Anolis sagrei: one gene and its partners. The protein of the gene in region 1 interacts with the protein of each later gene in a biochemical or structural test. Links are inferred from orthologs where the notes say so. Each region holds a gene or a part of one and is shown on either strand. Other genes may lie near its edges.

The links. The genes of interacting proteins can lie anywhere in the genome.
Region 2: the proteins of NHERF1 (region 1) and ABCC2 form a complex in vitro, tested with the Homo sapiens proteins (2 studies listed by BioGRID). The link is inferred for Anolis sagrei from reciprocal best matches to the Homo sapiens genes NHERF1 and ABCC2.
Region 3: the proteins of NHERF1 (region 1) and NF2 form a complex in vitro, tested with the Homo sapiens proteins (2 studies listed by BioGRID). The link is inferred for Anolis sagrei from reciprocal best matches to the Homo sapiens genes NHERF1 and NF2.

Annotation. Positions count from the first base shown.
Region 1 is NC_090022.1:116,222,056-116,230,089, reverse strand, and holds the start of NHERF1 (Na(+)/H(+) exchange regulatory cofactor NHE-RF1), read right to left. Parts: upstream 3,048-8,034; 5' UTR 2,882-3,047; coding exon 2,360-2,881; intron 1-2,359. UniProt on the Homo sapiens protein: Scaffold protein that connects plasma membrane proteins with members of the ezrin/moesin/radixin family and thereby helps to link them to the actin cytoskeleton and to regulate their surface expression. Necessary for recycling of internalized ADRB2.
Region 2 is NC_090023.1:218,845,570-218,853,632, reverse strand, and holds the start of ABCC2 (ATP-binding cassette sub-family C member 2), read right to left. Parts: upstream 3,006-8,063; 5' UTR 2,953-3,005; coding exon 2,908-2,952; intron 1-2,907. UniProt on the Homo sapiens protein: ATP-dependent transporter of the ATP-binding cassette (ABC) family that binds and hydrolyzes ATP to enable active transport of various substrates including many drugs, toxicants and endogenous compound across cell membranes.
Region 3 is NC_090034.1:48,741,656-48,749,535, reverse strand, and holds the start of NF2 (merlin), read right to left. Parts: upstream 3,006-7,880; 5' UTR 2,976-3,005; coding exon 2,916-2,975; intron 785-2,915; exon of another isoform or gene 777-784; coding exon 531-776; intron 1-530. Other genes in the region: NIPSNAP1 (protein NipSnap homolog 1), read left to right, coding at 3,525-3,601. UniProt on the Homo sapiens protein: Probable regulator of the Hippo/SWH (Sav/Wts/Hpo) signaling pathway, a signaling pathway that plays a pivotal role in tumor suppression by restricting proliferation and promoting apoptosis.

The DNA.
Region 1 (8,034 bases):
AGTGCAAAACTGCACCGTGGAACACAAGGAAGGGGAATTTTAAGTAAAGCACAATACCAAAACTCCATCCAAAGTTGGTCTATTGAAAAGCTCTGGATTTAATTTCTTTCTATGTTTTAAATTATGTTAATAATTACACTATGACTGGAGTCTCATAGCAATCAAGAAAGCCTTTCCAGCTACAGAGCACAGCTGAAGAGGAGCGACAAACTTGTGTCCCAAGTCAGGTGTCTCCCAGAAAAGAGAGCTGATATAACACGCAAAGTACGCAATCCATGAGATGTTCTTGACACTCAAGTGATTTCATATTAGGAAAAGGGGAAATCTTACGTCCTCCCACCCAAAGCCTTTTGCAATTTCCTAAAGAAAGCACTGATCTGTCTACAGGTGGCAATCTTTTTGACACAGAGCAGGGCACCAAGCAACAGGCTTATGAACTCTTCCTAAAGGTATATCTGCCCTGTAGAAATAATGCTTGCCCAGCAGAAATAAAGCTATTTGTAACCTTGTGTTGTCGAAGCCTTTCATGTCCGGAATCACTGGGTTGCTGTGATTTTTCCAGGCTGTATGGCCATGTTCCAGAAGCATTCTCTCCTGACGTTTCACCCACATCTATGGCATCCCTCTGAGGATACCTGCCATGTTCAAAAAGCATTCTCTCCTGATGTTTCGCCCACATCTATGGCATCCCTCTGAGGATGCCTGCCATGTTCCAAAATCATTCTCTCCTGATTTTTTGCCCATATCTATGGCATCCCTCTGTGGATGCCTGTCATAGATGTGGGCGAAACATCAGGAGAGAATGCTTCTGGAACATAGCCATACAGCCCAGAAAACTCATAGCAACCTATTTGTGACAATTTTAGCTGCCACGGAATCCTGGAATATGCATTTTGGTGAGACACCAGCCCTCTTTGGCAAAAAAAGGTTGAAGATTTTGGAAAACTGCAGCTCCCAGGATTCCATAGCAATGAGCCAGAGCAGTTAAAGGAGTGTCAAACTGCATTCCTTCCGCTGTGTAGATGTGCCCTAAGTATTCTCTTAGCCACCCAGACTTCCTTTTGCAACTTGCGACAAAGCAGCGCTGCCAGCTGGGCTTGCATTCAGCTCACAGGCAGCGGAAGTGGCCCAGGCTTTCAAGAAGGAGGTCACATTTCATAATGAAAGAGAAAGAGAGCCAGGAGAGAGAGGAGCCCGAGAGGGACTATTATTCCCCAGCACCCAAAGAAAACAGGCAGCAGGACTGAAGCAACAGCAAGAGAAAACCACAGGACCTGTTGCAAAGGAAGCTGGCAAGCCAGATCAGAAGGGCTCTGCACTCCCTCTTCAAGGAAAGCCCAGCCACCCCACGTGGCACATTGCCACTACCATGACTCCTCTGCCACAGTATCAAGAAGACTAGGATGATCATGAGAGTTGCAGTTTGTTGAGGCACCAGCACTCTTGGGCAGAGAGGGCTAAAACTACAACTCCCAGGATTCCATAGATTGGAGCCATGGCAGTTAAATTGGGTGTCAAAGCACATTCAGTCGATGGAATAGTTTCCCAAGGACTTCATTCATTCGAGGGAGTATATACAGTTTTCCCAAGGACAGCATTCATTCAAGGGAGTATATATAGTTTTCCCAAGGACTTCATCCATTTGAGAGAGGATATATAGTTTTCCGAAGGACTTCATCCATCCAAGGGAGTATATATAGTTTCCCCAAGGACTTCATTCATGGGGGGGGGGGGGGGGAGTATATATAGTTTTCCCAAGGATTTCATTCACTGGAGGGAGTATATATAGTTTTCCCAAGAACTTCATCCATTTGAGGGATATAAAGTTTTCTCAAGGACTTCATTCATTTGAAGGAGTATATATAGTTTCCCCAAGGACATCATCCATTGGAGGGAGTATATAGAGTTTCTCCATGGAGTGCTGGTGTCTTCCCAAACTACATCTCCTAGGATCCCATAGCATTGAGCCAGGCGATGAATGTGGTGTCACAAATGCATTAACCTTACAGTGTAGACCAGGCACAGGAAAACTTCAGTCCTCCGGGTGCTTTGGGCTTCAACTTCCACAGTTCCTAATAAGCTGGAATTGTGGGAGTTGAAGTCCAAAAGAGGTGGAGGGCCTAAGTTTGCCCGTGCTTGGTATAGATGCATCTCTCTCTGGCTTTCCCAAGGCCTGCCTGCTTGCCTCCCTCCCCAAACCCCAGGACCCCGTGGCCTTGAGCCCGGGCAGTGGAGGGCAGGCATTCCTTCTCCGGCGTGGCGGCATCCTGGCCGGGCTTGGAGCGGAAAGGCTTCTCCGGCCTTGAACCCGCCCAGCCCTGGCCCTCCCCCCCCCCCCCGGAGTGACCCCGAGACTCACCCGCGGGGGGACGTGGTTGGCTTCCTCGCCCTCCTCGGCCGCTTTCCCCTCCTCCTCCTTCTTGTCCTCCTCCTCCTTCTCCTCTTCCTCCTTCTTCTCCTCCTCCTCCTCCTTGGGCGCTGGGCTGCCCCTCGGCCCCTCCTGGCTCTCCTCCTCCTCCTCCCGCTCGCCGTCTTCCCCGGGCAGCCCTCGGAGGAGCTCCTCGCGGGGTCGGAGGCCCAGCTTCTGGAGGCGCTCGTCGGTGGGCGCGTCGACCACCAGGAGCCGCACGGAGCCCGGCGAGCCCCGGATGCGGCTGACCACTTGCTGGTGGCTCTCCTGCTCCACGTTCTCGCCGTTCACCTCCACCAGGCGGTCGCCGGCGCGGAGGCCGGACTTCTCGGCGGGCGAGTCGGGCTCCACCAGCCGGATGAACTGGCCCACTTTGCCCTTTTCGCCGTGCAAGTGGAAGCCGTAGCCGTTGGCGCCCTTCTCCGGGCAGCAGAGCCGGGGCAGGAGCTCGTTCCCTCCCCCGTTGTCCATCTTCCTCCCTGCCTTCCTTCCTTCCTTCTTTCGCCACTCGGCCAAGAGAAGCAGCAGGTGCTCCTTCGCGAGGGGCGGGACCACGCTCGGAAACTAAGACAAGCCCAAGAAGTTGCCGCCTCTCCGCCAATCGCGGCTCGTCCCTCGCGCTCTGAGCACTCCCGAGCGCCGCGGGGAGATTTTTATTCAAGGGGCGGAGCCAAGCACCTTAGTTGGACCAATGGGCTCCGCGAGAGGGAGGAGTCAGGCTCTACGGACCCGCCCCCTCCGAGGCTGAGACCTTGAAAGGGAGGAGGGAATATGTAAATAGTGGACACGGAGAAGCCCTCCCCTCCTTCCTGATTGGTTGCTTGGAGAAGGACGGAGAAAAGTTCTATCCATTCCCACCCAAGTTACTAAAACTTCTTTCTGTAACAGTCGATGCTTCCTTCCAAGGGCCCTTCCACACAGCCCTATATCCCAGAATATCAAGGCAGAAAATCCCGCAATATCTGCCTTGAACTGGATTACCTGAGTCCACACTCAGATGATGTGGGATTTTCTCCCTTGATATTAGAATCATAGAGTTGGAAGAGACCTCATGGGCCATCCAGTCCAACCCCTGCCAAGAAGCAGGAAAATTGCGTTCAAAGCACCCCCGACAGATGGCCATCCAGCCTCTGTTTAAAAGCTTCCAAAGAAGGAGCCTTCACCACACTCCGGGGCAGAGAGTTCCACTGCTGAACAACTCTCACAGTCAGGAAGTTCTTTCTAATATTCTGGATATAGGGCTGTGTGGAAGGGCCCCAAGTTGGGTTTAAGGGACTCAAATAGACCCAACTTGCAATGGTGTCACTAGGGCAGGGGTCCTCAAACTTTTTAAACAGAGGGCCAGGTCAAAGTCCCTCAAACTGTTGGAGGGCCGGATTATAATTTGAAAAAAACATGAATGAATTCCTATGGGTACTGCACATATCTTATTTGTAGTGCAAAAAAAAAAACCACTTAAAAACAATACAATAATTAAAATGAAGAACAATTTTAACAAAAATAAACTTATTAGTATTTCAATGGGAAGTGTGGGCCTGCTTTTGGCTGATGAGATAGCATTGTTGTTGTTGTGTACTTTCAAGCCGTTTCAGACTTGGGTTGACCCTGAGCGAGGGCCGGGTAAATGACCTTGGAGGGCCGCTTCTGGCCCCCGGGCCTTAGTTTGAGGACCCCTGCACTAGGGGGATCCCAACTCAAGCGGGTGACACCAAAACAACTACCAAGCTGTGTAACATGATTTTTGTTCTTGGATTATAAATGTCATATCCTAAATAGTTATATCATAACAAGCATGGGAAAAGTTTATTAAACACTCAAAAACAGGGGAATTCCAGACAAGAAGCAACCAAAGCCGGCTAATCACCTCCCAGCAAAGGTGAACATGAGGAAGAACTTCCTAATGGTAAGAGCTGTTCAGCAGTGGAACTCTGTGCCCCAGCGTGTGGTGGAGGCTCCTTCTTTGGAAGCTTTTAAACAGAGGCTGGATGGCCATCAGTCAGGAGTGCTTTGAATGTGATTTTCCAGCTTCTTGGCAGGGGGTTGGACTGGATGGCCAACGAGGTCTCTCCCAGTTTCAGGGTTCTGTGATTCTATTATTCCCCCAGGCAGGAAGCAGCCAAGCTTTGAAGCTACAAGGCTATTCAATGCTAATCAAGGTGGCCAATTGCAACTTCCACACCTCAAACAGACAGGAGTTCTTTCTCCCACCATGGACATTCACAGATATGTAAACCACACTTGCCTAGTTTCCAACAAACCTCACAACCTCTGAGGATGCCAGCCGGCCACAGATGTGGGCTAAACGTCAGGAGAGAATGCTTCTGGAACATGGCCTTACAGCCCGGAAAACTCACAACAACACAGTGATTCCAGCCATGAAAGCCTTCGGCAACACGTTGCAAAAGCCTTGTTTTTGAGAGACATCCTGCAGCACATTTTGCTGTAGTTTTTCAATAAATATCTCATAAAGTCCCAGACAATTCAACATAGTTTGTGACAGCCACAAAAACTACGTTTCTGGAGTATAACAACTACCCTCAAAGTAAGTATCACACAATTATACAGGAAACAACACTTTCAAACCAGGAACAGATTTATTTTCAAATTTTGTTGCATAGTGTTATATTTTTGTGCGAGATTTCATCCATTTTAAAATAAATAAATGATATTCCTGTAGATAATAATCAGAAAAAAACTGTTTTAAGAAGTCCAGTTTACATGTAGTGTATCAATATGCTTCCAAGCTTGAATCTCTAGGCCAGGGGTCCCCAAACTAAGACCTGCAGGCTGAATGCAGCCCTCCAAGGCAACCCATTTACCCTCATCCTAAACTGAAGACTGAGGGTCACCTTATATCTGAAACAATGTGAAGGCACACAACAACAGCAATCCTAATTAACTTGACTCTCCCATCTGCCAAAAGCAGGCCCTCACTTGCCATTGAAATACTGGTATGCTTATGTTGGTTAAAATTGTTCTACAAATAAGATACCTGTAGTGTGTATAAGAATTCGTTCATTTTTTTTCTTCCAAACTATGATCTGGCAGTCTATAATCAACAGTCTGAGGGACCATGAAGTGGCCTTAGCTTTAAAAGCTAATTTACTTTTGGAACCTTCTAATGCCACTAAGGTTCCAAAATAAAGCAGGACACAAGTAAATATAATAATGGTGATGTGCATGCACTCCAGTCAAAGTTGTCATTACTATCCACTTACAATGACACACAAGCATGAACCGCACAGTTTCCTCTTCACATGTTACCAGGATGTGTTATTGCTTTGTTGCTGCTGTTTTTAAAATAACCATTGAAATTGTCAGATTTTCTGGTATTGTAACTGCAGTATTGGGGTATGATTCATGGAGGTGACACAAACTCTAGCAATGTCACTATAAACTTGAAATAAAGGGTTGAAACAGGTGAGCATATTCCTCTGCCTTATTGAAGCAAAGTGTCCTCTGCCAGGAAAGATCAAAACCATGCAGGGGAATTAAGTCATAGGCCATCCCCTGAGTGCACATCCCAGATAATCATAACTGTGTGGCCATAATGGCTTTGTTTATGCAGTGGTTTTCAACCTGTGGGTCCCCAGATGTTTTGGCCTTCAACTCCCAGAAATCCTAACAGCTGGAAAACTGGCTGGGATTTCTGGGAGTTGTGGGCCAAAACAACTGGGGACCCACAGGTTGAGAACCACTGGTTTATAGGTTGTAAAGATATCTACAACCACAGAGTACTGGGGTGACCTTGAAGAAGAAGGTATGTTTAGGGTTTGTTTAACTTGGAGAAAAGAAGGCTGAGAGGGGATATGATAAATATGTTTAAATATTTGAAAGGATGTCATATTGAGGAGGGGACAAGCTTGCTTCTGGTGCTCTGGAAACTAGGAACAAGGGATTCAAACTGCAGGAAAAGGGATTTCACCTAAACATTAGGAAGAGCTTCCTGACATTAAGAGCCGTCCGGCAGTAAAATAGGCTGCTGCCTCAAAGTGTGGTGGAATCTCCTTCTCTGGAGATTTTAAACCAGAAGCTGGATAGCCACTTGTCAGGAGTGCTTTGATTCTGTGTTCCTGCATAGCAGCAGGTTGGACTAAATGGTCCTTGGGATCTCTTCCAACTAGATTCTATGAGTCTACTCTATAATTCTAATATTGTTTCCAAATCCTTTCTGTCGTAGAAGGAAGCAACATGAAGAACCATGGATCATGCATTAATTGTTTCTTCAGAGTCAGAAATCATGACACACAATGAACAAGACATTTCACACATTATGTCAAGCAAATGTAGATCTTCTTCAGTGCAAAACATTTTGCCGCCTGAGGCAGGAGGCGACATAGTGTCCCCCTCATTCCATGCACCAAACCCAAATGGTTTGGTCCTTGAGTCATTCCTCACCACTAGAGATGGAGCAGCATCTTCTCATGCACACAGGTGGCTAGTTTTAGGGAACAAGGCAGGCACCCAATTGTCTCTACCAATACCTTGTTGCCACCTCCCAGAATCTGCTGCTTGAGGTTACCCCTTCATTTTGTTTAATAGTAGAGTTGCCTCTAACCTGTTTCCAAGTACTCCTGCCCCAGATCCATGGAGAGTGTGGTTGTTTGCAAACGGAAGTATGTTATCGTACTGGCCTTCAGAAGGAAAGTGAAAACCTGGCCCTAGAGTCAAGCCTTCAGAGATTAACTATAGCACAATAATAGCTATGTAATTATGTGCAATGACTTTTGGAACAGTCCCAGATTACGAATGTGGATCGCGCCATTTTTGAATAGTGATTGCAATGTTTTATATGTTTTAATGTGAATTTAATTTTAATTTTTAAATCATTAACTTAATGTATTTTAACTGTTTGTTGTTCAACGGCATTGAATAGTTGCCTTGATTCCCCTTCGGGGTAGAGAAACGTGGGATTCAAATAGAGTAAGTAAGTAAATAAGTGCAGACCTGAACATAGGAAATCTCAGTTCTTTATTGAAACCCGTTAAGATTTCATATTGATTCCACCATTTTGTGTGGAATGTATTTCCAACCACACTCTTGAATGTACCTCCAAGCTATGTTTGGACTTATACCGTATTTTCAGGATAAGATAGGTTGTGATGCAAACACTTGCCCAAGTTTCCTCAAGGCTATCTAAATGTGCTAGAATGATCGAAGCATCCTTGTATTTTAAAATGGCTGCAACACCCTTTATTTATAATTAAACCCAAAAGGCAATTTCTTCCCATGGTTTGTCAACTGCACAGGGGTTTTTTTTAATCAGGGAGCCAAACCACAAGCTGCATGCACCAAGCAGACTGGGGAACACAAGGGAAGGAAGAGGCCGCAGCCTGTCCTCCGAGGGTGTTGGCAGAGAAATGGTTTCTCCAGCTACTGCATTCATCAGCACAGGAAGTGTTTCATCATGGGAAGATACTTCTCTGCATGCGTATTTGGAGCTTTTATTGTGTTTTTGACTCGTGCTAATCCTTCTAGCTCAGTTTGGAGTAGCAGCTTGAGTATTAAGAATCAGACCATCCCTATATGGTTTGACCTAGGCATCAGATCTGTTGATTCCATATCTGTATTTGGTTCCAAACAAGACAACTACCTGCTCCCATTTACATCCTGATTTAATGGAT
Region 2 (8,063 bases), on another chromosome or scaffold:
GGGGATTTGATTTTTATCTTCTTCTGAGGCTGAGAGAGAGCAACTTGCCCAAAATCACCGAGTGGGTTTTCATGGCTGAGTGGGAATTGGAAACCTGATCTACAGAGAAGTAGTCCAATGCTCAAACCACGACATGGTATTGACTTGCCATACTTTTCCAATGGAATCACAAAACAGAGTTGCCTGTTATATCTATATATCTCTATCTATCTATAGGACATGTATCTGTTTACCAAGAAGCAGTCAGTTGTGGAGTTCGTTTCCAAAAGGTACCAAATCCAAAAAATTGAAAAATGAGGCATAGGTGGCAGCATGTTGTTGGCTATGAATAGAATATTATGTATAGATCAAAACTATAAAAATGTGTCAAATCACTTGGGTATAAGGACTCGAAAATTGCATTATATAGCAAAAGACTGCATGACCTCACCATGGTTTTTTTTTATTCCTGTAACATTTGTTCAGATGGATTTGGTACCTTTTGGAAACATGATCCACAGTTGCAGGCCTCTTCTATGCAGCTGTATAAAATCCAGGTTATCTGCTTTGAACAGTATAAATTCATATCATCCGATTCAAAGAAGGTAATGTGGATTATCTGCTTTGATAATCTGGATTACATGGCAGTGTAGAAGGAACCATAGATTGCATGCGGTCTTACCTGCTCAGGATTATTTTATATAGTAACCTAATAATATATTATTTGTTTTAGGTTTAGTTGTTTTCTGGTCTTCTGTTATCAGCTAATAACTTTCTTGTTCTTTTGCCCTCAGTGAATTAGAGAGGTCTTACAACAGTTTGTTTGTTCTAGCTTAGTTATCATCCAATTGCAGATGCGATTTTACTGACCCTTTGTACAAGGCCACATGCATCCAAATACATAACACTTTTAACTGGTCACCATTATTCCGACTGTGATGAGGTCATGTGTGATGAGGTCATGTGTGACTCATCATGACTAAGGACTATTCTACCCATTAACTACACATTCTCCGCTTTCTGGGTTGTTGTTTTTTCTTGATTGGATCCTAATAATAATCTAAGGCCCCTTCTACACAACCCTATATTCCCAGGATCCCATCCCAGATTATTTGCTTTTAACTGGATTCTATGAGTCTCCACTGCCAGATAATCTGGGATAAGATGATAACCTGGGATCAGATCCTGGGATACAGAAGCAGTGTGTTCTAATCTGCCCACCACATTTGTGCATTTAACTTTAGAGGATTTAATTAATCACAGATATAATTGATATGGGACCCTTCTACACAGGCAGAAATACCACCCAGAATATCGAGGCAGAAAATCCCACAATATCTGCTTTGAACTGGGTTGTCTGAGTCCACACTGCCATATATTCCAGTTCAAAGCAGATAATGTGGGATTTTATCCAGCTGTGTGGAAGGGACCATCATCTTGCTAGGAATCTCTGGGGTTTTTAGCATGATTTCAGGAGGTTGACCACAGAATCATACTAGATGACCTAAAATTCCTATAAGTATTCTCTCAGGCCCCTTCTACACAGCTGTATAAAATCTAGATTATCTGCTTTGAACTGGATTTTATGGCACTGTAGACTCAGATAATCCAATTCAAAGCAGATAATGTGGATTATCTGCCTTGATAGGAGCTGCAGTGGCACAATGAGTTAAACCTTTGTGCCGGCTGAAGTGCTGACCTGAAGACTTGAAGGTCGGCAGTTCGAATCTGTGAGATAGGGTGAGCTCCCATCTGTCAGCCCCAGCTTCCCATGCGGGGACATGGGAGAGGATGATAACACATCCGGGCATCTCCTGGGCAACATCCATGCAGACAGCCAATTCTCTCACACCAGAAGCGACTTGCAATATATTATTTGGTTGCTTCTGACACAATAAAAATGCATTGATAGTCTGGATTTTACGGCAGTGTAGGAAAGCCCTCAGATAAAAAGAATGTGTTTTTTTGATCACAGTTACCCCACTTTCATATTGATCCTTCAGTCTCCCAGCACTCATGAAAATGAAAAAAAAAAACACACTACTGTTCAAGTAAATATGGAATTCTGATATATCATGTAGCTCATTCTAGGTGGAACCATGTCTTCTCTTTCTGTTTTTGAAAAAGTTACTAGTTGCATGTTCTCCACGCATGTTCTGAAGCTCCCCTATCCAATAAAGCAGCGGAAAAGATATTAATGAGAACCAAGGGGGAGCTTTCCAAGGAGAAAAGAACTCTGAGATTATTCATAATAGGTAGTATAATGAGAGGTATAGCATTCCCAAAGCTTAGTATATCTTTGAAACAACAGCATTCAATGAGGATAGCTTATTAATCTTACAACCACAATCACACTGAATTTGCTGTGTGTGTTCAAGGCAATGACACATATACACAGCTGTCCCAAATCCTCATCAAACAGCCACAACACTGGCTGTACGGCATACTCCCATCGTTCAAGACAGATGTCTGCAACCTCTTGGAGTGTCACAGTGTCGCCGTCGTCATAATTAGCTCTGTTGGAAACGGAAGCCCCTTCCACACAGCTGAATAAAATCCCATATTATCTGCTTTGAATTGGAATATATGGCAGTGTGGACTCAGATAAAAGGTAAAGATTTCCCCCTGACATTACGTCCAATCGTGTCTGACTCTGGGGGTTGCTGCTCATCTCCATTTCTAAGCCGAAGATCCGGTGTTGTCCGTAGACACCTCCAAGGTCATGTGGCCGGCATGACTGTGAGGAGCGCTGTTACCTTCCTGCCAGAGCGGTACCTATTGATCTACTCACATTTGCATGTTTTCGAACTGCTAGGTTGATCGGTTCAGAGCAGATATTGTGGGATTTTCTGCCTTGATATTCTGGGTTATATGGCTGTGCGGAAGGACCCTGAGTAACAGATTTGGGTAGAAGAGGCTGCTACTTACCCAGAAAACAGAGCCACAGAACTCCCCCAAGGCTGTCATCGCCATGGCGAGGCTCTCTCTTCTCTTGTCCTTGTCCAACTGATTTATCAATCCCAGGAAGCTGAACAGGGCAAAAGTCCCACATGCTCAACAGAGGGGCCTTTGGAACAATCACACAGTGACAGGACATTAATCGTTAACTCCAGATGCATGTTTAGCCTCATGAATCAGATTTGTGAAACTTGAATATAGTAGTCTGGAGCAGGATTTTAGAAGATATAAAATGAAATGGACTCAGTGCAGAGCATTATGTCGTCTTGGATTTTAAAAGTCTCAAGATGTAACTGACCTCAGTCTAGCAGATAAATAATTCCACTTTTCCAGAGGTGATATAAGAGAAAACTGCTCTTATACTTATCAAGATGATAAACACTGCTTGTTTTCCACATCGGATAATTTCACATACCGGTCTCATCTTCAGTGTTATCTAGGACAGACCCAACTTAGGTATGGAAGTTTACTACCTGTTCATTTTTTGTTCCAAAGGGATTCTGAAATGACACTGCTCAGTTACAGATGGGGCGAAATCCAGTTATCCCAGCCAGGCAGTTTGTCTCTGTATGTTCATTGTTTTGTTGTTTATTTGTTCAGTCACTTCTGACTTTTCGTGACCTCATGGACCAGCCCACACCAGAGCTCCCTGTCAGCCATCACCACCCCCAGCTCCTTCAAGATCAAGTCAGTCACTTCAAGGATACCATCCATCCATCTTGCCCTTGGTCGGCCCCTCTTCCTTTTTCCTTCCATTTCCCCCAGCATTATTATCTTCCCCAAGCTTTTCTGCCTTCTCATGATGTGGCCAAAGTACTTCATCTTTGCCTCTAATATTCTTCCCTCCAGTGAGCAGTGGGGCTTTATTACTTGGAGGATGGACTGGTTTGATCTTCTCACAGTCCAAGGGACTCTCAGAATTTTCCTCTAGCACCTCAGTTCAAAAGCGTCTATCTTCCTTCGCTCACCCTTCCATATGGTCCAGCTCTCACATCCGTAGGTTACTATGAGGAATACCATAGCTTTAACTATGCAGATCTTCATTGGCAGTGTGATGTCTCTACTCTTATTTTATTGAGATTGGTCATTGCTCTCCTCCCAAGAAGTAAACATTTTCTGATTTCCTGGCTGAAGTCTGCATCTGCAGTAATCTTTGTGCCCAGAAATACAAAGTCTGTCACTGTCTCCACGTTTTCTCCCTCTTTTGCCAGATATCAATCAGTATGGTTGCCATAATCTTGGGTTTTTTTATGTTTAACTGTAACCCAGCTTTTGCACTTTTTCCCTTCACCTTGGTTAGAAGACTCCTTGGCTCCTCCTCACTTTCAGCCATCAAAGCAGTATCATCAGCATATCTAAGGTTGTTCTGCATACAAGTTAAATAGGTAGGGTGAACGTATACAGCTCAGCCCTGCCATTCTCCTTTCCCCATCTTGAACCAGTCTGTTGTTACATGGTCTGTTCTTACTGTTGCTACTTGGTTGCTGTATGTTCATAGCACAGCCAAACAAGCATCAACAAGTACCTTAATGTCACAATATCCAGTTTCACAGGCTGGTTCTATACTGGATGATGTAAAAAATACATAAATCAATTGAATTATTAATTACGTTGGAAATGTACTAACCAAAAGGGGCAAATTAATTGTTTTTAATCTTTTTTTTCATGTCAGGAGCGACTTGAGAAATTGCAAGTTGCTTCTGATGTGACAGAATTTGCCGTCTGCAAGGACGTTGCCCAGGGGACGCCCAGATGTTTTACCATCTTGTGGGTGGCTTCTCTCTGACAGACGCTCCCCGGATTCAAACCACCAACTTTTCAGTCAGCAGCCCTGCCAGTACAAGGGAGGGTTTAACCCATTGAGCCACCGGGGACTCCGTTTTTTAACTAAAGTGATTGACTGGGGGAATTTCAGTACAAATTCAGAAATAATTAAAATTGGTTTATTTTCCAAACCCTAGTTTATTTGGGGTTCTGCAAAACAAGCGTGTGGTGTTTGTTTTTTTTATCCCATTAGGGTTTGTTAATTGCAAGATATAGGTCGCAAAACCAAGCCATTTACTAAAGAGTAGTTCCAGTGGGATGATTTAAAAAGGCTTTTGAAGTGGTTGATTCCCTCTACTTTATTTCTAATATTAGTAAATGATCCATATCTCTCATGTCAAACATTCCTGTGAATGTTTAAAATCCAAGTGAACCTCAAAAAAAGTCCAGAAAAAAGAAAGTAATTCCAGGAAATGATTTCCACTACTTTACAAATCACTTTTTATAATAAATATATTCAAATGTAATGCATCACAAAAATCCAGTTCTACAAACTGAAGAATGTTTCAAGTTTTGCCAAGCTAAGGTAAATATTCACTGATGAATGAACATGTTGAGATATGTTTCATTTCAGGTACCCTGAACTACAATGAGGAATTTTGGCAGATTTTATTTGTTAAAACCTAGCAGACAGATATGAATTGAAAAGCTAGTGTACAAATTTGATTTTGAAATGTATTTATCTGATGTAAAAAAAAATGTTATATTGGACTGGCATATTTAGATACAAATCCCTATGTAGCTATGAAACTCAATCAGGGACTCACTATTTCTCAGTTTAATTGGCTCTCTGGAATATTGTGACAATAAAATGTAAACAACAGCCACATGTGCCACCTTGAACTCAGTGGAGGAAATTTATTTATTATTTATTTACTCTATTTGTATCATGCCTTTCTCTACCCCGAAGGGGACTCAAGGCGGCTTTACATATGGCAACCTTTGGACAACAAACAGAATACACTTAAGCTAAAACTGAAATTAAAAATAAAATTAAATGCACATTAAAACATATAAAACATTGCATTCACTATTAAAATCACACCATCCTCAATCATAATTCAGGGCCGTTCCAAAGATCAATTGCACATATTTCAATGCTATTATTCAATATCGTTAATCTCCAAAGGCTTGATCCCAGAGCCAGGTTTTCACTTTCCTTCTGAAGACCAGGAGGGAGGGAGCTGCTCTAATATCACTGGAGAGGGAATTCAACAGCTGAGGGGCCACCATGGAGAAGGCCCTGTCTCTTGTTCCCACCAATCGCGCCTGTGATGGAGGCAGGACCAAAAGCAGGGCCTCCCCATGATGGTTCATAGAGGGAGATACATCCGGACAGGTAAGCTGGGCCGGAATAGTTTAGGGCTCTATAGGCTAAAGCCAGCACTTTGAATTGTGCTTGGTAGCAGACTGGAAGTCAGTGGAGCTGATGTAACAAAAGGGTTAGATGCTCCCTGTACGCCACTCTGGTGATCGGCCTGGCTGCTGTCCATTGTAAGCTTCTGAACAGTATTTAAAGGCAACCCTGCATAGAGCGCGTTGCAGTAATCTTGGGATGTAACTAGAGCATGGACTACCGTGGCCAAATCTGACCTCCCAAGGTACAAGCACAGCTAGTGCACAAGTTTTAATTGTGCGAATGCTCAAAATTCCCAAAGTAAGGAGTCTAATCTTTAGTAGAGATAGTTTGGTAGCTGGTGGTACCTTTTGCATCCAGATGGTCCTTCTGTATTCAGCACTGAACTCTGCAGAAAAACAAGTCCCAGGAAACTGAATTGTGAAGCTCTTAAACTATGTATGTATGTATTACTTTAATTGGCATTCAGATGAGGAAAAGCAATCTAAAGATCGGGAGAATTTAAGAAAATGAAATTATATAGGCAAGAAAAAGAGAAAGCAAGAGAAACAGGTGGAGAGAGGTGGATGAGAAACTGGGTTTTCAGAATTCTTGCAATTGTTTCTTTCTCTCCAAAGCTCAAAATATGGACAGGGATGTGGTAAAGCATGGATGAAATTTATCATCTTCCTGGCATTAAGGTTTTTATGGTAGTCATGTTATTCCTGCTGTTGAGTTGTAGTCCAGTGCTCACGCCACTCTACCATGCTGGTTTGTTGTAGTAATGTAACATAGTATAAATGTCAGTTTAAAAGTGACATGAAAATTAGGAGAAAGCACAGACATCGAACTATACCTGTCCGGACATATCTCCCTCTATGAACCATCTCAGAGGCTAACATCTTCTTGGGACACCATGCTCCCAGTTCCACCTTCTTCGCAGGCGCGACTGGTGGGGACAAGAGACAGGACCTTCTCTGTGGTGGCCCCTTGTCTATGGAATACCTTCCCCAACGAAATTAGATTAGCGCCCTCCCTCTTGGACTTCAGAAAAAAAAGCAAAAACATGGCTGTGGAACCAAGCATTTGGGCAGTAAGCAGGACAAGAAATGAACATGGATTATGTACAATTGTTATTTGATACTGGAACGCCCTGAACCATGCTTCTGGATTGTGTGTTTTTATGTTAGGTTTCATGTTTTGTAAGGCATTGAATTTTGTCATGAATATGTTGGAAACAGCTGAGTCCCCCCAGGGGTGAGGAAAGCGGTATATAAATGAACAAATAAATAATAAATAAATTTCTGCAGAATTATGCTCTGCGAGCAATGACATAGGATCTTAACACATATGTTAACCTTTTTCTGCTAACTTTCTGAACTCTAGAAGTCATAAATTTTAATTGGGAAGGAGTGGATTGCAAAATGTTAATTCCAGGGCTGACCACATCAACCAGGGTGGAAGTTAAGGAGATACTTCGCAAGATTAAAATCTTCACCTATCCCCGACTGTTAATAATAATATGATCCACAATATTTTCTTCCTTCCTCCCACACAGACTGCTTTGAATCATGCTAAATTATCCAAGAGATATTTTGCTGTCTCATGCTTTATACAATCAGAAAATTCACAACAAGCTCAGATTCATTCTTGACAAAAGGGTCCAATGTCCATAGGACAGGCAATTTAAATCTGTTTTGGTTAATTATTAGATAGTAAATGAAATATTGGCATCTTGTATAAATGTTCCTATACTTTAGGGCAGCATTACACATGAAATCAAATCACATAACCCCAGGAAAGAGAAAAACAGGGGCAGGAGAGTTCAAGTCTTGCAGTGAGACAAAGAACATGCACTTGACTTTTCCATGACACAAGAATTCCTTTGCAAAGGCTGCGTGAATGCCAGGTTACCATAGCAAAATTGATTTTTCAAAAGATCTACTTAATGAGTGGTGGCAAACCT
Region 3 (7,880 bases), on another chromosome or scaffold:
TTCTTAACTAGTCAGGTGTTTGTAACATGGAGACTGTCTGGTTTTTGGAGGCTTTTCTGGCCTCAAAGCCCCTTGGAATACTATCACTACCGTAGTCCAAGGGTGCCATTGACACTGCTAGAATACAGTTGAGTGCCACTGTAATGCTACAAGGCCCTGGGAGTTGTAGTTTCCCAAGACCTAGAGTCACCTGCAGGCTGAGAGAGGTGGTATACAAATGTAGCAAATAAATAAATAATAATTTTTTGCAGCCTTGCCCAACGACAAATCCCATAATGCCATTAGGCTTAGGCCATCCTGGAGATTTCTCGCACAAGAACCCTCGTCGTTATTCCAGCCATTTCCTGTACAGAAATTATATATGGCTGCACTATACATCCCAAAAACAAAGGGCTACTCCCAGGATCCTGCAGCACTGAGTCACAGCCGTTCAGATGATGTCCAAGGGCACCCATGCAACAGTGTCCTTGGGCCCTTTCCTGTACAGAACCCAATCCTGGCCCAAGGCCACACTACAAATCCCGGCTCACCTCGCAGTTGAACTCCATCTCGGCCTCCATGGTGACGATGCGGACGGTGAAGGTCTTGGGCTGCTTTCTCTTCAAGGAGCTGAAGCTCATCCGGGAGGCGATGGCGCCGGCCATCTTCAGGGCCTCTGGGAGATCTAGTTGGCCCCACCGGAAAGTCAAGTGCGCCAAGGGGGGGCAGCCAAAGGGCCCCCCAAAAGATCCATTGGAATGGGCAGAGGGTTGAGGCAAAGAAGGCTTTATCCGGCCCTGGACATCTCAAAAGACGGACAAAATGATCAGTGTAGAAGTTGATTGATTGATTGACTGGTTGACTGGCTTAAAGAGATGTTTCGATCTGTAGGTTTTGGGGGAAAAGGCATTATATTCTGAGTAGATGGATTAGACTAATAATTGCTCAGTTGTTGATCAATTGACTGAATGATTTCGGAATATTGGCGGAAGGAGGGGCTACGCTGGATATATTAATTCAAAGAGAGGTTTTTATGGGGGGGGGGGTTCTATTAACCTATGCTTTTTAATGAACAGATGGGATTACTTGAACAATCGACTGATCGATGTATAGATTGATTGATTCATCCATCAATCTACAAATGGATCTATGATTGATTGGATGATTAATTGGCCGGTTGAATGATTTGAAGTGAGGTGCTATTGGAGAAAGAAGAATAGTGTCCTATGGTTTTTAAAGGATGCTTGGGATGATCGCTCAGTTGATCAATCAGTCTCTGAACTGATCAATCAATACATTGATTGATTGATCAATATATCAATTAATCAATTCAGAGACTGATTGATTGGCGGGTTGAATGATTTAAATGGAAGAATTGGAGGAAAGGAGTGTTTCTATTCTCTGATGGTTCTTAAAGAATGGAGGGGACAATTGATCAATTAATCAATTGATCTGACCAATCGATTTATAGGCAGATTGACTGACTGCCGAGTTGTCTGAGTGATTTAGAGGATTTGGGGGAGGGGGAGAGCAAGGTGCTATATTGGTTCTTAACAGCTAGATACAATGATTGATCAATTCATTATTAATCGATCGATCAATCAATTAAGAGTTTGGGGAAATATTAGTAGAGGAAGGGGCTACATTGGATGGTTTGATTGATAAGATGGTTTTGATTGGGAGGGTTTCTATTGTCCTATAATTCTTAACAAAGGGATAAGACAATCGATCGATGCAGGGGCCTTGGTGAAACGAGAGGCTATGTTGGACTGATTGATAGAAAGAGAGGTTATTATTGAGGTTGAGAAAGCTTTCTATAGTCTTTATGGCTCTGAACGGATGGATGGGATTCCTGATCGATCGATCAGTCAGTTGGTTTAGAAGCATTGGTTTATATTGGAGTGACTGATTGAAAGACGAGTTATTATCGTGACAAAGGTTTTAATTTCTTGTTCAATCAGAGGCGGCCCTAGGTAATTTTCAATGGTAAGCAAACAGTATTGTGGCACCCCAGCCAATCACTGATATATATTTTCTGTTTGTCGTGGGAGTTCTGTGTGCCATATTTGGTTCAATTCCATCATTGGTGGAGTGCAGAATGCTCTTTGATTGTAGGTGAACTATACATCCCAGTAACTACAACTTGCATATGTCAAGGTCTATTTTCCCCCAAGAGCGCCCCTGGGAAAATCAACTATACTGCAAATGCTTACTTTGCGTAATGGGTTGAGCCGCCCCTGTGTTCAATGGTTCTCCAGGGATGGGTGGGACAATGGATCAATTAATCGATTGATTGATTAATTGATTGAAAGAGATACTTATTGGGATTTTTTTGGGAGACTTGGGGTAAAGAAGTGTCTTTCTTGTCCTATGAGGGAAATGAATGGGATCATTGATCAATCCGTCCATTAACTGATTAATTGATCAATCCATCAATCAATCAATTGATCAGTCCATCCATTGACTGATTCATCAACTGACTGAAAAAGTGTTTTGTATTGGGAGACCCTTGTCCTATGATTCGTATTGAAGAGTTAGGACAAGGGATCAATCAGTGGATCGATTGGAATAGTTTTAGGGAGGATTGGAAGAGGGAGGAGCCAAACTCTGGCTTGGTTTATTAACAAAGAAAGCTTTATAGGGAAAATGGGGGGAGGGAAGAGTTTCTTTTCCTTCGAGGATATAATAAATATCGATTATCTATTGATTGATTCAAAAAAGGCCACTTATGGGGCATAAACGGCTTTTTTCCAATCTTAAGAGGAGATGAGGGGGAAGGGAGGCCTACGAAAGCCGTTTCCCTCATGTTTTGGGGTAAAAACGGAAGGAAAGGGGGGAAATCAGGGGTGCGGGGGGGTATACGGAACAGCCCCCTGAAAGCGCGGGGGGAGGGAAGGGGGAACAGCCCCCCCGAAGGAAAAGAAATCGGCCCTCACCTCCGCCGCCGGAGCCGGAGCTGCCACTCCTCGTCTCTCCCGCTCCCGATTGGTTGGCATTGGCCACGCCCCCTCAGGAGGCGGGGTTGAGGCCCAACGCTGCCTAGTGGTTGCCTCTCCTCGTCGTTTGCTATTGGTTGTGGAGGGAAAATAGGCCACGCCCCCGAAGAGGCGGAGCGGGCAATTCTTTTCTTTTGGAATCCTATTTTAAGGAGACATAGAGGTGCCTACGAGATGGCTTATGTGTTATACTTCCGGGTGCCGATAGAAAAACGAGGCGCCATTTGCGAGGCGGGAAAATGGAAAGCAACTCTTTCCCCCTCGGCTTTTCAAACGAAACCCGAAGTGTTAGATGTCTGTCTTAAAGGGAAAGGGTAATGAGTGTTCCGATTGGTGCGTTCGCCTGCCATTTGGCCCCCAAAGACCCGCCCTCTCCATAAAGGCCATTGTAATTGGCTGGCTGGGAAAGAGCGCCCCCTCGAGGAAGAAAGGCCGAATGACGTTTGTTGCTAAAGCAAGGCCTCGCGGCCCCGCCCCTCTTGAGACCAAGCCACGCCCCTAAATAAAGGGGCGTGCCCTCCTTCGCCTCCTGGTTCGGAGAGGGAAAAAATGGCTGCTACGCGGAAGCTGGTTTTGGAGGCTCTTCGGGGCAGAGCGGCCTTTTCCTTTTCTAGCCTGGGCTTCCGGTAGGAATATATGTTATATACACATATGTTACATACATGCAGCAATACTCTTAATATGTTTAGGAATAGATTTAATATATTGGGCAATAGTATTAGGAATAGATTTAAATTATATTCAAATAGTTTGACTATATTGGGGAATATATCTGATGTATTTAGGAAACATTAACAACCTCAGATATGCAGATGACACCACTCTGATGGCCGAAAGCGAGGAGGAGCTGAGGAGCCTTCTAATCAAGGTGAAAGAAGAAAGCGCAAAAGCTGGGTTGCAGCTAAACGTCAAAAAAACCAAGATTATGGCAACAAGAATGATTGACAACTGGAAAATAGAGGGAGAAAATGTGGAGGCTGTGATAGACTTTGTATTTCTAGGCGCAAAGATTACTGCAGATGCAGACTGTGGCCAGGAAATCAGAAGACGCTTACTTCTTGGGAGGAGAGCAATGTCCAGTCTCGATAAAATAGTAAAGAGTAGAGACATCAGACTGGAAACAAAGATCCGCCTAGTCCAAGCCATGGTATTCCCTGTAGTAACCTACGGATGTGAGAGCTGGACCTTAGGGAAGGCTGAACGAAGGAAGATAGATGCTTTTGAACTGTGGTGCTGGAGGAAAGTCCTGAGAGTGCCTTGGACTGCAAGAAGATCCAACCAGTCCATCCTCCAGGAAATAAAGCCCGACTGCTCATTGGAGGGAAGGATACTAGAGGCAAAGTTGAAGTACTTTGGCCACATCATGAGGAGACAGCAAAGCCTAGAGAAGGGAATGATGCTAGGGAAAGTGGAAGGCAAAAGGAAGAGGGGCCGACCAAGGGCAAGATGGATGGATGGCATCCTTGAAGTGACTGGGCTGACCTTGAAGGAGCTGGGGGTGGTGACGGCCGACAGGAAGCTCTGGCGTGGGATGGTCCATGAGGTCAAGAAGAGTCGGAGACGACTGAACGAATGAACAACAACAAATTTAGGAATAGATTTAGAAACAGGTGTAATATATGTAGCAATACTTTTAATATATATTATATAATATAAATATATGTAATATATATAGGAATAGATTTAATATATTTAAGGTATTTAGGAATAGATTATACACACACACACACATATATACATATATCAATACTTTTAATGTATCTAGGAATGTAATATATTGAGGAATATGTTTAGGAATAAATTTAATATATATATAGCAATACTTTTAATATATAATATATATTGTATAAATATATATTATATATTTAGGGATATTTCTAATATATTTAGGAATATATATATAATACAGCAATACTTTCAAGGTATTTAGTATCTAATATATTTAGGAATATAAAGTAAAGGTTTCCCCTGACATTAAGTCTAATCGTGTCCAACTCTGGGAGGTTGTGATCATTTCCATTTCTAAGCCGAAGAGCCGGCGCTATCCATAGACATCTCCAAGGTTATGTGGGTGGCATGACTGCATGGAGTGCCATTACCTTCCTGCAGAAGCTGTACCTATTGAACTACTCATATTTGCATATTTTCAAACTGCTAGATTGGCGGAAGCTGGGCCTAACAGCAGGAGCTCACCCCACTCCTCAGATTCGAACCACCAACCTTTCACTCAACAAGTTCAGCAGCTTAGCGGTTTAACCTGGTGTGCCATCAGGGGACCCATTTAGGAATGTATTTAGGAATATGTATTATATATAGAAATGGAGCCCCCGGTGGCGCAGTGGGTTAAAGCACTGAGCTGCTGAGCTTGTTGATTGAAAGGTTGCAGGTTCAATTCTGGGGAGTGGCGTGAGCTTCCGCTGTCAGCCCTAGCTTCTGCCAACCTAGCAGTTCGAAAACATGCAAATGTGAGTAGATCAATAGGTACCGCTCCGGTGGGAAGGTAACGGCGCTCCATGCAGTCATGCCAGCCACATGACCTTGGAGGTGTCTACGGACAACGCTGGCTCTTCGGCTTAGAAATGGAGATGAGCACCACACCCCAGAGTCAGACATGACTGGACTTAATGTCAGGGGACTACCTTTACCTTTTTATAGGAATGCATTTAGGAATATATATATATATATATATATATATATATATATATATATATATATACAGTCTCTCTCTCTCTCTCTCTATATATATAGAGGAATATATCTAATATATTGAGGAATACATTTAATATATATAGCAATACTTTTAATATAATTAGGAATATAAGTGATATACTTAAGAACATATTTAGGAATGTATTTAATATTCCTAAATTATTGCTATATATAGCATTACTTTTAATATATTTAGGAATATATCTAATATATTTAGAAATATATTTTATATATATTGCAATACTTTGAATGTTTCCTTTCTCTGTATCAAAGTTAATGAATGGCCCGCTTCAGGCCAAAGGTTTCACCCAAGGCCAATGGGGGTGCATTTCTACTTGATTTTATGTTATGTTTATATTATTCCTAGCTTTTATTATTACTTTATAATATAATATTATTATAGTATAGATTTCCATTATGGTTATATTATTTTTTACATTGTTATTGTTTTATTCAGAATATTTCCAATTCTGGGAATATTACAGAATCTGTGGATATGGCGCCTATCCAAAGTGGGATATTAGTATAATAATAATAATAACAACAATACTTTTATATTACTTATTATTAGTTTTAGTAATATTAGTATTTAATAATATTCTTAATAATATTAATATGTAATAGTATATATATATAATAGTAATAATACTGAAATATATACACACATATGTATAGTATATAATAGTAATAATACTGATACACGCATACGCATATATAATAGTAATAATAATAGTAATACTGATAAACATATGTAATAGTAATATTTTTTTTATCGTGTCAGTTGTATTACATTTTTGACAGAACAAACAAACAAACATACAAAAGACACAGAGTTTGCAAACTTGGTAGTTGATTAAATGTCCTTTGACCAGTGCCTCTGGTGTTGCCGCAAGAAGGTCCTCCATTGTGCATGTAGCAGGGCTCAGGTTGCATTGCAGCAGATGGTCAGTGGTTTGCTCTTCTCCACACTCGCATGTTGTGGATTCCACTTCGTAGCCCCATTTCTGAAGGTTGGCTCTGCATCTTGCGGTGCCAGAGCGCAGTCTGTTCGGCGTCTTCCAAGTCGCCCAGTTTTCTGTGTGCCCAGGGGGGAGTCTCTCATTGGGTATCAGCCCTTAATTGAGGCTCTGGGTTTGAGCCTGCCACTTTTGGACTCTCACTTGCTGAGGTGTTTCAGCGAGTGTCTCTGTAGATCTTAGAAAACTATTTCTTGATTTAAGTCATTGGCGTGCTGGCTGATGCCCAAACAAGGGATGAGCTGGAGATGTCACTGCCTTGGTCCTTTCACTATTGGCTACTACTTCCCGACGGATGTCGGGTGGTGCAATACTGGCTAAGCAGTGTAATTTCTCCAGTGGTGTAGGGCGCAGACACCCCGTGATAATGCGGCATGTCTCATTAAGAGCCACATCCACTGTTTTAGTGTGGTGAGATGTGTTCCATACTGGGCATGCATACTCAGCAGCAGAGTAGCATAGCGCAAGGGCGGATGTCTTCACTGTGTCTGGTTGTGATCCCCAGGTTGTGCCAGTCAGCATTCGTATGATATTGTTTCTAGCACCCACTTTTTCCTTGATGTTCAGGCAGTGCTCCTTGTAGGTCAGAGCACGGTTCAGAGTGGCTCCCAGGTATTTGAGTGCATTGCAATGCTCCAGTGGGATTCCTTCCCAGGTGATCCTCAGAGCTCAGGATGCTTGTCTGTTCTCCGAAACTCTAGGTGCTCTTACTGCCTACTACAGGGAAAACCAGCTGATCCCTAATCCATCTAAAACACAGATGGCTTTTCATCTCAAGAACAGTAATACCAATATATACATATATACATTATATTAGTAATTATAAGAGTAATAATGCTGATATATATGTCTCTGTTTGTGTAATACTGATATATATATACACAGACACACACATATATAATAGTAATAATACTAATAATAATCCTTAATAATGTAAAAGTGTTTTTGTTATCATAGGCCCAATGTAATAATATATCGATAAGAATACTAATAAAACTAATAATAATCCTTAATAATATAAAACTTTTGTTGTTATCATAGGCCCAATGAGGACCAAAGCAATGAGCCCAGGCTGTAATAGTAATAATAATATCTATTAATATATTATTATTGTTATTATTATTATTATTACAGCTTGGCCTCATTCCTCTGGTCCTCATTGGGCCTATAACAAAGTGCT